Linked DNA regions of Mus musculus. The protein of the gene in region 2 purifies or fractionates together with the protein of the main gene of each other region. This does not show direct contact. Links are inferred from orthologs where the notes say so. Each region holds a gene or a part of one and is shown on either strand. Other genes may lie near its edges.

What was found.
Region 1: the proteins of Dnaja1 (region 2) and Endog purify together in Homo sapiens (affinity purification with mass spectrometry; 3 studies listed by BioGRID and IntAct, counting the BioPlex papers as one, with this or other methods). This does not show direct contact. The link is inferred for Mus musculus from reciprocal best matches to the Homo sapiens genes DNAJA1 and ENDOG.

What each region holds. Positions count from the first base shown.
Region 1 is NC_000068.7:30,169,086-30,175,080, reverse strand, and holds Endog (endonuclease G, mitochondrial precursor), read right to left. Parts: upstream 3,558-5,995; 5' UTR 3,507-3,557; coding exon 3,015-3,506; intron 2,240-3,014; coding exon 2,130-2,239; intron 2,021-2,129; exon of another isoform or gene 1,637-2,020; intron 1,636-1,636; exon of another isoform or gene 1,391-1,635; coding exon 1,108-1,390; 3' UTR 1,012-1,107; downstream 1-1,011. Other genes in the region: Spout1 (putative methyltransferase C9orf114 homolog), read left to right, coding at 12-159, 896-988. UniProt on the Homo sapiens protein: Endonuclease that preferentially catalyzes the cleavage of double-stranded 5-hydroxymethylcytosine (5hmC)-modified DNA.
Region 2 is NC_000070.6:40,720,325-40,726,426, reverse strand, and holds the start of Dnaja1 (dnaJ homolog subfamily A member 1), read right to left. Parts: upstream 3,960-6,102; 5' UTR 3,794-3,959; exon of another isoform or gene 3,586-3,793; intron 3,511-3,585; exon of another isoform or gene 3,291-3,510; intron 2,725-3,290; 5' UTR 2,715-2,724; coding exon 2,583-2,714; intron 2,455-2,582; coding exon 2,277-2,454; intron 323-2,276; coding exon 218-322; intron 1-217.

The DNA of each region.
Region 1 (5,995 bases), on a different chromosome or scaffold from region 2:
CTGGGTCCCAGGCATGCCCTTGTGGTGTTTGGAGGCCTCCAAGGGCTAGAAGCTGCAGTGGATGCTGACCCGAACCTTGAAGTGGCTGACCCCAGTGTCCTCTTCGACTTCTATGTCAACACATGCCTTAGCCAGGGCAGCCGTACCATCCGCACCGAGGTGAGCCGCAGCCCGAGTTCTTGCAGCCCACCTTGCGTGCCTTTTCTAAAATTTACTTATGAATGTTTTGTCTGCGTGTGCTTGTGCACATGAGGAGAGGGCATCGGATCCCATGAGACTACAGGTGTCAATAGTTATGAACTGTTATGTGGATTCTGAGAATTGAACTCAAGACTTCCCGGAGAGCAGCCAGTACTCCTAACCCATCTCTCCAGCCCCAGCCTAAAGAGCTTTTCTGAAGCTGGGATCTTTACCACAGCCAACTAGTAGCAGGGACTGAACACAAGAGCAATTAAGAGTTGCAGTCCTGGCCCTGTGCCCTGTGGTAGCCCTGTGTTCTTAGGTTGAGGGACCCAGGTGATCTGTCTGTCTGTCCCTCTGCAGGGCTTCTTGCTTCCGCTTCCTTGGTTGTATCCTAGGTCCCTCTGGGTGTTGGGGGAAAGTGTGCCACAAGCTCTGAGCATCCACAGGATCTATGCACCCATCCTGGAGACTAGCATGGGATTCAGTGCCTGTGGATATTATGGGGGAGGCTCTGTTGCTGTCAGCCTCAGGGGCAGTGACTATGCAGACGGGCAGCCCCAGTCTCCCTGTCTCTGAAGTCTTGCCCATATCACTAATTACTGTTCCACCAGTATCCCTCCTGACCCTGAGGTAGGTCTCACATGGGGCCTGAAAACAAGCAGCTGGGAAGGCTGCCTGGCTTCCTGGTCCCAACCAACTTCTTTTCTTCCAGGAGGCCATACTCATCTCGCTGGCTGCTCTGCAGCCTGGTCTCACCCAGGTGGGATCGAGGCCCGCCTCCCCGCTTTCTGGACCCAGGATGTAGAGGAAGCAGCAGGACAGGAGGATCATGGGAGTAGAGATGGTCAAGTCTTCTCTCCAAAAATAACTGCCTTTAATGTGAGTCAGCCCATCTCCCCAGGGGCTCCAGTGAGTCCTCCACCATCACTTGCTGCCAGCAGTGATAGCCTTGAGGTTTCCAGCTCGAGCCAGAATATTGGGCACGAAGAGCAATCCCGAGGCCCGCTCGATGCTCTCGATGGGCACCAGGAACCGCTCCAGAGGGATGGTCTCATCCACGGGGGCATTGGGCATCACGTAGGAACGTAGCTCGATCTGCCCACCGGCTGCCTCCAGGATCAGCACCTTGAAGAAGTGTGTGGGCACTGCCACGTGGTTCTTCCCAATAACCTGGTACTTCACATAGGACTTCCCATCAGCCTCGGTCCTGTGGATAGACCCGGGCGCATGGCCAAGAGGCCTGGTTACATACAAGGTCACCTCTTCCAGGAAGCCTTCCTAACTTCCAACAAGCAAGAAGTTTGTGCTGGGCCTGGTGCCTCCTTGGGTCTGGGAACTATGTAAGGTGGGGACCAATGCTTAACCTCTGCTTTTCTGCCCAATACTGCTTCAGACAGAATGGGAGGCAATAAACGCAGCTAGAGGAATGAGCTCTCTAGACCCTGATGCTCACCTATGCTCACGTGACTGTAACCTGTCCCGTAGGCAGTACACCTAACAAGCACGAGTGGGAGGCCATGCTGGGGAACCCCAGCCCCAGCCTGGTGCTCGGGTGGCGTCACACCGCGCCACGCCAGATGGCCTGTAGTGGATGCCTGTAGCTTCTGGTTTCCGCAGCAGCCGCTGCCTCCTGCAGCCCGTGCTGCAGCCCGTGCTGCTGCTGCTGCTGCTGCTGCTGCTGCTGCTTTCTGTGCCCTCCCGAGGAGCTCAGCTCATTTGTCTGCCAGGAATCCTTAGCACGTCAGAGGCAAGGGTGACAGCCTCCCGTGCAGCCACGGGTTACAGGTGGTAAGGCAGGTCAGACGTGGGGAGCAAAGGCAGGTGTGGGGCCAGGCACCTGAGGGCACAGCAGAGTTCTAGGCCACCCAAAGGTCTCTGGCTACAGTGACACAGAAAGCCCAAGGTTGGAGAACAGGAGTCGGAGGCCCCGTCAGCTACAGGCTTACCTGGGCAGGAAAAGCGGCCCCGTGCAGACATAGACATTTTGGTAAGTTCGCGTCAAGCTGCGGCTGTACCTCTCAAGGTTGTTCCAGGCATTCTGGTTGAGGTGTGGCACCTGGTGGGAGAAGCGAGGCTCAGGAGCACACCTCGGACCTTCCATTAGGCATGCCCCAGCTCTTAATGTCAATGCCCAAACATTTGAAGGACAAGGGCTCAAAGAAGGGCTCCCTCCTTACGGCTCTGTGACTACAGTTTTTGAGCCAGTGCTAGCCACACTCCATTCCTGGCACTCCAATGCTCTAAGCTTTCCCCATCTCAAGGGAAGGAGGAAGGAGGGGACATTAGTCATTCAGAGACCCCCAAGGTCTCTTGGAACTCCCAAACCTTAGGTCAAGCTCTAAAGGCACGGGGACTGGACAGTGCTGGTGTGCACCTTTAATCCCAGCACTCAGGAGGCAGAGGCAGGCAGATCTCTTGAGTTCCTGGGCAGCCTGGAAAATCGAGCAACAAAAGGTGTGGGGTGGGATATGGTCTCCTGTCCATCTCCATCCACTGGGTGGATGTCCCAGGAACCTACTTCACAATCAAGACCCTGCTGGGAGCAGGTGCAGTGCTAACAGTGTGCCCTGGAGGCCTGACTGGCCCTAGGCCAGCAGGGTAGACTGAGGAGTCAAGCTCCCGGGTTCCCTGAGGAAGCACACTGGGTGGCTTGCTGACAGGCATTGCTGCAGCCCGTCACTACTTGGTGCACTGCTTCCCACGGGAGGCTGAAGAAGGATAAACCCCGGATTCTGCAGTGCCACTGTAAGATTCCTCCCTCCCGCCACGGTGCACGTGTAAAGTAAGATCTAGACGCTGCAGTCGGGCGGGCGACCAGGGTCCGAGACTACCTGAGGCGCTACGTTGCTCAGGTAGAAGGTGTCGTCCATGGCCCGCTGACTCCAGCGGTGGTTGGCGGCGGCGGCCAAATGGCCGCGGTCAAAGCCACTGCCGCGGTAGTCCGCATTGGTGGCGCGGTGGTACGCGTGCACAGAGTCATCCTCGCGGAAGTCGCAGGCGCTACGGTCCCCGTCGCCACGGAGCCGCTCTGGCCTCAGCTGCTCCAACACCCAGAGCGCACCGCGCGTGCGCGGGTCGTAGCTAAGCACGTAGGACTCGCGGCTCCGGAGCTGCGCCACGCCGGGCAGCCCGTACTTGGCCAGTTCCCCGGTGCCGCCCGCCGGTCCCCCCGGCAGCGCGGGAAGATCGGCCGCGACCACCGGCAACAATGGCACTCGGCCCAGCAGCCCCGGCGCTTTGCCCTCCCGCCGCCGCCAATGCTCTGCCGCGGCGCCCAGCCCCGCGCCCAGCGCTAGGGTCAGGCCGGCCCGCAGCGCGCGCATGCCTACCGGAGGACAAGGACGCTACTGATGTTAGCACAGAGTGAAGGAGCCTGTGCTGGCGTGGCCCCCGACGCCCTTCAGCTGCCCTTTTAAGACGTAGCTGGGTCCTGGTGCCGCCCTACTCGCTTGCCATTGGTCGTTCCACGTCGGGCTCCGCCTCGCCATGTACACCTCACATGGCCCTGCTTTTAAACAGGACAGAACCCCAGATCTGTCAGACCCCTCAGGTGCACCCACCCTCCTGCCACCAAACGAGCGAAGGATTTCTCTAGATTGATTAACAGAAGAATGCAGGTGTAGCTATTGATAGCCGCCTGGAACCTAAGCTTGCTATATAAGGTTAGAGAAAATAGCTATGCTAGGGTCATACTTTTCAACCCACTTAAAGGGTTTGGCCTGGGAAGTATGTTGTGTTGGCCAATGTTTCCTGTCCGTAGGTCAGGGGCTGGCTAAAGATATTTCCTACATTTCAGATGGAATAGTATTTAACTTATGAATATTTTAAGACATCAACTTCCTTACAACCTATTAAGACGGAGGAAGACCGATACATAAAAACTGAAGAAAATAGGGCTGAGAGTGTACAGTCAGAGCCACACTCATTAGCATGGGACAAAACCAATTATACATTAAAAGATAATTGGGGGATGGCTGGGGGGATGGCTGAGGGGTTAAGAGCTCTTCCAGAGGTCCTGAGTTCAGTTCCTAGCAACCACGTGATGGTTCACAACCATCTGTAATGGGATCAGATGCCCTCTTCTGGTGTGTCTGAAGACAGTGTATTCATATCCATAGAATAATTCTTTTTGTAAAAGGATTTATTTATATATTACATATACAATGTTCTGCCTGCACGATACCTGCAGTCCAGAAAAGGGCACCAGACTTCATTATGGATGGTTATGAGCCACCATGTGGTTGCTGGGAATTGAACTCAGGACCTCTGGAAGAATAGCCAGTGCTCTTAACATCTGAACCATCTCTCTAGCCTGAATAATAATTTTTTTTCTTTTAAGATACATTGGGAAATAGGGCATCTGCAGGTGTTGATGGGTAAGAAGGCAATGGAGGGAAATCATACAAATACCGTGTACATGTGTGAACATGTTATGATGAAACTTGGGCTTGTTTGCTTGGTTGGATTTTTTTAGACAGGGTTTCTCTGTGTAGTCCTGGCTGGCCTGGAACTCACTCTGTAGACCAGGCTGGCCTCGAACTCAGAGATCCGCCTCCCTCTGCCTCCTAAGTGCTGGAATTTAAGGTGTATGTCACCACAGACTGTTGAAAAAATGAAAAAAAAAAGACAAAGTTGTAGACTGGAGACATGGTGCAGCAGTTCAGAGCACATGTTGGTCTAGCAATGGACCCAGGTTCAGTTCCCAGCACCTATATGGTGGCTCACAACCATCTGTAACACCAAAGGATTTGTAGGCAAACACCTATATAGACAACATAATTTTGTTTTGTTTTGTTTTTTAAAGATTTATTTATTTATTATATGTAAGTACATTGTAGCTGTCTTCAGACACTCCAGAAGAGGGAGTCAGATCTTGTTACAGATGGTTGTGAGCCACCATGTGGTTGCTGGGATTTGAACTCTGGACCTTCGGAAGAGCAGTCGGGTGCTCTTACCCACCTGAGCCATCTCACCAGCCCCATAATTTTGTTTTTTAAAGAGCATATTCAACTCTTGCAGAGAACCCAAGTTAAGTGACAGGCAGCTCACAATGTCCTATAGCTTCAGTTCTCGGGACCCATTATATTCTGAACTGTGCAGCCTCTGCAGTTCTAAGGTGAAGGATTCAGCTCAAGTGACCAGAATTTTGCTTGCTTTCTTTTCTTTTCTTTTCTTTTTTTTTCTTTTAAAAAGATTTATTTGTTTTATATATGTGAGTACACTGTCTTCAGACACACTGAAAAAGGGCATCAGATTCCATTACAGATGGTTGTGAGCCACCATGTGGTTGCTGGGAATTTAACTCAAGGCCTCTGGAAGAGAAGTCAGTGCTCTTAACCTCTGAGCCATCTCTAAAGCCTACAACTTTGGTTTCTCTAAAAACACTGTTATAGCCGGGCGGTGGCGGCACATGCCTTTAATCCCAGCACTCGGGAGGCAGAGACAGGCAGATTCCTGAGTTCCAGGCCAGCCTGGTCTACAAAGTGAGTTCCAGGACAGCCAGGGCTATACAGAGAAACCCTGTCTCAAAACAACAACAACAGCAAAAACAAAAAACAAAACAAAAAAACCAACCAACCAAAAAAAAAAAAAACAAAAAAACCACAGTTATATTTCGTGAACATGATTTTGTTTTAATCCCAAGTGTGGGATATGGGGCTGCTTCAGACTGTGCACAGCCGATAACTATGATTGTCTCATGCTCTAGGAGGGACAGCATTTTTGGCAGCTGCAGATAGTTTATGTTTGTAATTCTGGGGACTCTTGAAAGGGAATAAAGCTGAGAACCCTGAGAGGGCCTGTGATGGCTGTG
Region 2 (6,102 bases):
AATTCTATACAGACATGAGTATGTCACAGCAAAGCCATTACATTTCTCTTTGTAGAAGATTCAGCTGTTTTTAGTGCTGCACTCCAACTTTATCAGGGAAGTCATGGGGACCTGGTACTCAGAAAGTTGAAGAAAGATAAAAGGCCAGCTTACATCTACAAAGGCCTATCCTCATAAACAACCCAGCTAACAACACCCAACACTTAGGAACCCTTACCTTCACATTTGTCACAAATCACATTCTTTTGCAGAGCCAGTTTTCTTGTTGCACCATTATATAAGTCTTCTAAGGTCACTGAGAGCTGATGAACAACATTTTTACCTAGAATAAAACACTGCTCATTAAACACCCATCTGTAACGTTTCTTTGTTGAAGGCACTATAAAAATGGCAAAGGATAATGGAAGACCAGCCTCAAACTATACATCTTTTTGAGCTATACTCATATACAACACTCATCTAATCACTTGATTTTCAAACTAATCTAATCATAAATGAGGAAAATTATGTGAGCAGTTCATCTATCTGCCTAAGAACACAGAGGCCCTCTCAGAAATCCAGCAATTAAAATACTACCCTTAAAAGTCACTCAATGTTCAGGCACATTTCACAATGCTAAGCATGGATCCCTTTGAAGGTTTTACTTATTAGGCATTATTAAGCAACATGGCTAGTTACTTAATCCAAACATTCTTTAGCACAGTAAATTCTTTCTAATCAAGATTGGCTGGAGAAGCCAATATTGAGACACTACTGAAATAGCAATTTCTACTTCAGTTTCAATAGTTTTTATTGCTAGGCTAGCACTGGTTGTCTCAAATTTCCCAGGCCTTTTGTTATATATTATACAGTCCAACAGAACTTTCTGTAGCAATGGACACATTTTACATGTACAATACTAGATACAATTTTAAGTGTGGTGGCTACTACAGCTGCAGAGAAATTTTTCCCTCTAAATTAATCTCATCTTAAAGACCCATATCTGGCTAGAGCAAAAGATTGCCACATAGCCGAAGTAGGTTGGTTGAGATCACATAAGGACAGCCAGGTTAGAGAAATGAAATCACCTGTCAACGGTTAATAAGTCCCTAGCTGGTGATCCTTCCCCTAGGACTTTATCCACGGCCCGCCACGAGCATTGCCTGATTACCAAAGAAAGTCCCAATCCTTTCTGAATATCCGAATATTCTTACTCTTTAAGTAAGGAGTTAAAATTAAAGTCACGACATTGTGCTGCTTTCTCATTTTCACTTTGTAAGCAAGTAGGTTCTCACAAATTGAAAGTCCGAGCTTTCTCAACTTTATACAGAGTACAGAAAGGAAAAAGCAAGCTTCTGGAAACTGACGGAGTCCATTCTCCAAAGCAGCACAGTTAACAAAAGCCCTCAAACTCATCTAAGCCAAAGTCAGTCTACCTTTCTGTAGCTCATACCATCTTATGGCTGAGCAGGCCGACTGCGATTATAGGTTGGTTTTTTAAATATGTTTATGTGAAAACCAAGAGGCCAGAAGAAGCAGCTGCTGGTCCCCTGGAGCTGGAGTTTCAGGCAGTGGTGAGCCAGCTATCGAGTGTGGGTGTGGGAAACAGAACCTGGATCTTCTACAAGGAATGGCAAATGCTCTTGACTTAATCACTGAGCAGTTTCTCAGGCCCACAGGTTAATTGTTCTAAAAACATAGTAAACAGTTTTTCCAAGTCCCTTTAAGGAGCAAAGTGAAATTTAATGGCCTGCCTATTTGTTCTAGAACTGTGCCTATGAACTAGTTTATATTAACTATATATACTGAGAACAAAGTGCTATTTTACCCTTCAATACTGTCTTCCCATAGACATCTTTTGGCCAAACACTAAACACATTAAGCTGAGCTAGCAGAGCTGAAACAAGAGTCAACAGCAGCAGCTATCTGCAGACAATGAGCTTTTCTCAGGCTCTGCTTGCTCAGGGTTACTTTTCTAACAGAAAGGGCCACTGCACTTACCACTGGGTTCTAAGAGCAGGTGGTATTATCCAAGGGAGGACAGGGCTTAGAAACCTAAGTTAGTACACTTTGTTACCCCCACTGTTTGGGAATCTATGGGGTTAGTTATACCTGCTTTTTGGCTTAGCTATTTTTTAGTTACAGAAAATCTCAATGACACCAGAAGTCAAAGACAGTTCACGGACAGAGTGTAACATCATACCAACGTGTAAACAAGCATTTGAATAAATTCTCAAGTCTTTTTTTTCCGCAGCAGTTATTTCGTTCTAGCTGCAGGTAAGCCAGATTTTTCTTACCTCTCCTTTCTCTTTGCATTCTTCCTCCTCCTCCAAAGAACATATCAAAGATATCCATGGGTGAGCCAAAACCACCACCTGCTCCGCCCTCTTTAATCGCCTGCTCCCCTCCTTTATCATATAGTTCCCTTTTTTTGGAATCAGCAAGAACTTCATAAGCTTGAGAAATCTGTTTAAACTGTTTCAGAAAAGGACATCCCATTAGAAACAACTGTTACAAAGCACAGCTACGGTAGACTTTAAGGCACGAACAGAAAGATACACACACTGCAACACTGCTGCTGAGCTGTTTGCCTGTGCCCTTACCTTTTCCCCTTCATTTGGATTCTTATCAGGGTGGTACTTCAAGGCCAATTTTCTATATGCCTTTTTCAATTCTTCCTGGGTGGCATTGGGTTTTACCCCCAAAACATCGTAGTAAGTGGTTTCTTTCACCATTTTTTACAGCCTGAAACCAGAAAATGGTAATTTTAAACCAGCTTTAAACTTTTGTAGAAAAGATCCAACTGCTTCTGCCTCCTGAGCACTGGGATCAAAGGTGTGCGCCACGACTGGCTCTTAACGGGTAGTCTTTAACTACCAGAGCTAAAGCAATCTGTTCTTTTGCATTTATTTCATACTAATACAGCCTTCCCTACGCGTCTTAAAAGGTAAAAAAAAATTCCTGATATGATTCAGCTGTAAACTCGAACAGATTAAAATATAGATTTCAGGGAACGCGAAGGAAAGCCTCTCTCGCAGCTGGTTCAGACTCTACTGCACTAACACATGAATTATTTGGCTTCTTCCGGTTTCCTTTCCCCAGAGGTTTTGCTAGTAACCCACAGCAGCACTGATAGGTTCCGTCCACTGGTTAGTACATTACCGCTGCCTTTGTACATCTGATAAAGGCCATACCCTCGCCGGAAAGCGACACTGGACTCCCGGGGGTGGAGGAGTGGCTTAGGAGACCGGCTCCAGGGAGCAGGTGCCCGGGCCCCGTCGCCATCCTGCTCCTGCTCGCTCGCAGCTTACCCACTCTCGCCCCGCAGGCCTGGAAGCTGGCTCGCCCTCTGGGTTTCCCGGGCCCCCCGGCGCCGACCGTTAAGGCTTCCTTCCTTTCTCCCTCCCACCCTGATCGAAAAGGCGGAGGGGGGGGGGAGGTCGAACCTCAACAAAGAGAGGGAGGAGAGCCAGGAGAAGCGCAAGCCGCAGCCTCCGCCCGGCTCCTCCCGCAGCCCCTCACCCCTGCCTTGCTCCGCGCGTGCGCAGCGCTGCCCACCCGGCCCGGGCGGCGGAGCGCGGGGGTACGCAGCAAGGAGCATGAGGCGGGAGGCCAATTGGCTTGGGCCTTGGACCTCCTCGAGGCGTGCGGGCGGGCAGGGCGCCGGGCATTCCCGGCAGCCTTCCGAAGCCCGAGGCCGGCTCAAGGAACCCGCAGTCCCCGCCCACGCGGGACCAACCGCCTCCGGCTGCGCCTTCCCCGGCTGTCTGGGGTCCAGACCGCACGCCGCGACCGAGGGAGGCCGGAGACTCACCGGTGAGCGGGCCGGCGCCGGAGAGCGGAAAGGAGCGGAGCACAGCGCAGCTCAGCCACACGCTGCTCCTCCACCACCCACCGAGCGTTCTGGAAAGTTCCGCCCGGCCCGCCGCAGCCGACCTCTTTTGTAGCCGAGCCCCGGCGCGTCACTTGCCGGAAGTCCCGCCCCTCGCCGCTGCCACCGCCCCTCGGTTACCTGGGCAACGGCGCGGGGGCGGGAAGTGGCTGCGCCCAAGGGCCTTGTGGGGGTGGACTCAAGCCCGGGTTCCCGAGCCTCGTAGAATTTTCTAGAGGCTTTTTTTCTTATTGCGAGGAACCAGAGTGCGGAAGTCTTGAGGTGGAGAGGTCATGTCCCAGAGCCCGTAAGCCGGGGACGAGTGCTTCAGGCGTTGTGCGCGCTGTGCTGAAGGGGATTGGTGGAACCCAGCCCTGGCTGCGAGTCTGATTTTCTGCAGCTCCAGCTCCTTAGCTCTGAGCCTTGCGGGCAAGAAATGCTGAGCAAGGCGGGCCTACTCCCTAAACCAGCCTCGCAGGCTTTGGTTTCACCCAAGCGCACTTATGTCAGAGCTTTTTGGACGAGCCTGGCCCAGGCTTCAGATCCTTTTGGCTCTGACGACTTGGGCGGAGGGAATCTGGGACTTCACCAAACAGGAAAACATTTAGAATGCCTCATGCTAACGGAGGGTCATGGTCTTCCACCCAGTTTGGCCGCAGAGGAGCGGCCAAAAGCAAAATTAATTGCTTTAGCTTATTGTTTTAATTCTCTGACCGTTTTTATTTCCAGTTGGTGACTCAAAAATCTATAGTTGGCAAAGTTGAATCTTAAGCTTTCAAAGGACAGAGTGAATGTTTTTCTTATTCACTAACACAATAGATACATCAAAGAAGTGGAGGTGTAAGCTTGAAAGAGTTCACATATTTTAAAGATTTATTTTGAATCCTCTGTGTGTGTGTGTGTGTGTAGGTGCCCAAGGAAGCCAGAGGCATGGAGTCTTAAGTCTGGCTTCAAATTCTGAAATCTCCTGTCTCTGAGCAGTTGTGAAGGGTGGTACATGCTCTTAACCGCGGGGCCTCTTGCTTGGACTTTCGTTGGAAGTGGAACAAGCTAAAAACTTATAAGAGAAATCACAAAATACAGGTCAGCAGGTGAACAAGAAGCAGTTAAGCACACTTCCTAATGGAAGTGCAGAGTGTGGGATGAGATTCTTTAAATGTTCGTTTTATTGTGTGTTTCTAGGCTTGTGGACCATTGTAGTTCTCTCGTACCTTTGCACGGGCAACTCAAGTCTTCAGTGCGTTACCAGCTGAGCGGCTGTCTCAGTGCTTTATGGAGATCACAGGTAATTGGATGTAGCCAGAGCTAAGGGAGCTGGAAAGGCTGTCTTCAAACCTACCCAAAGACATCTTTAGCTCGTGGTCTTAAAAACCTCCGGATTTTGGGATTTCTACCTTGAGCTGTCCTGCCTCTCCACCGTTACTGCTTTCACTAAACTCTGTTGTGGTCACTAAAGCTACGCCACTTCCCTTACAGACTTTTTGATGATGTGCTGTGGTTTTGGTTGAGAAACATCTTTTCTCAGCTTACGTGTTACCCTCTCAGATATCACATCTATCAATAGGTTACGTCTTTAAAGCAGGGGCTCTTTACCTTCCTAACGCTGCGACCCTTTATTACAGCTCCTCATGTTGTGGTGTCCCCCAACCATAAAATTATTTTCATTGCTTCTTCATAACTGCAATGTTGTTACTGCTGTGAATTGTAATATAAATATGTGCCAAAGGTTTTCCGAAGGGATCAAAACCCACAGGTTTGAGAACTACTGCTTTAAGCCAACACTTTTGAGTAAAATATCTACTATGCCAGGCATACTCTAGGCCTTGCCAATACAAAACTCTTGTAAGCCATGGCCCCTACTCTCAAGGAACTTAACTCGTAATGAGATTAAAAACCAGAATTAAAAACAAAAAACCAAACCAAAACCATCCAACCAACCAACCAAAATTGCAGGACTAGGCTGATAAAGTCTGCCTTTAATCCCAGCACTCTGAAGGCAGAGGTAGGCAGATCTCTAATATAGAGGCCAGGCCAGTCTACATAGCAGGTTCCAGGGCAGCCAAAGCTACAGAGTAAGAAAGACCCTGTCTCAAAACAAATCAAACAAAAAACCTCGAAAATTACCAGCAACTTCATATGTGATAATTTTGTGTGGAAATGAGATCTTAGCTTAGTTTGGTAGTTCTGAAAATTCAGAACTAGGAAGCAGAACCAGGAGGCTAGTGAACTCAAGATCACTTGAGTTAGGTGTG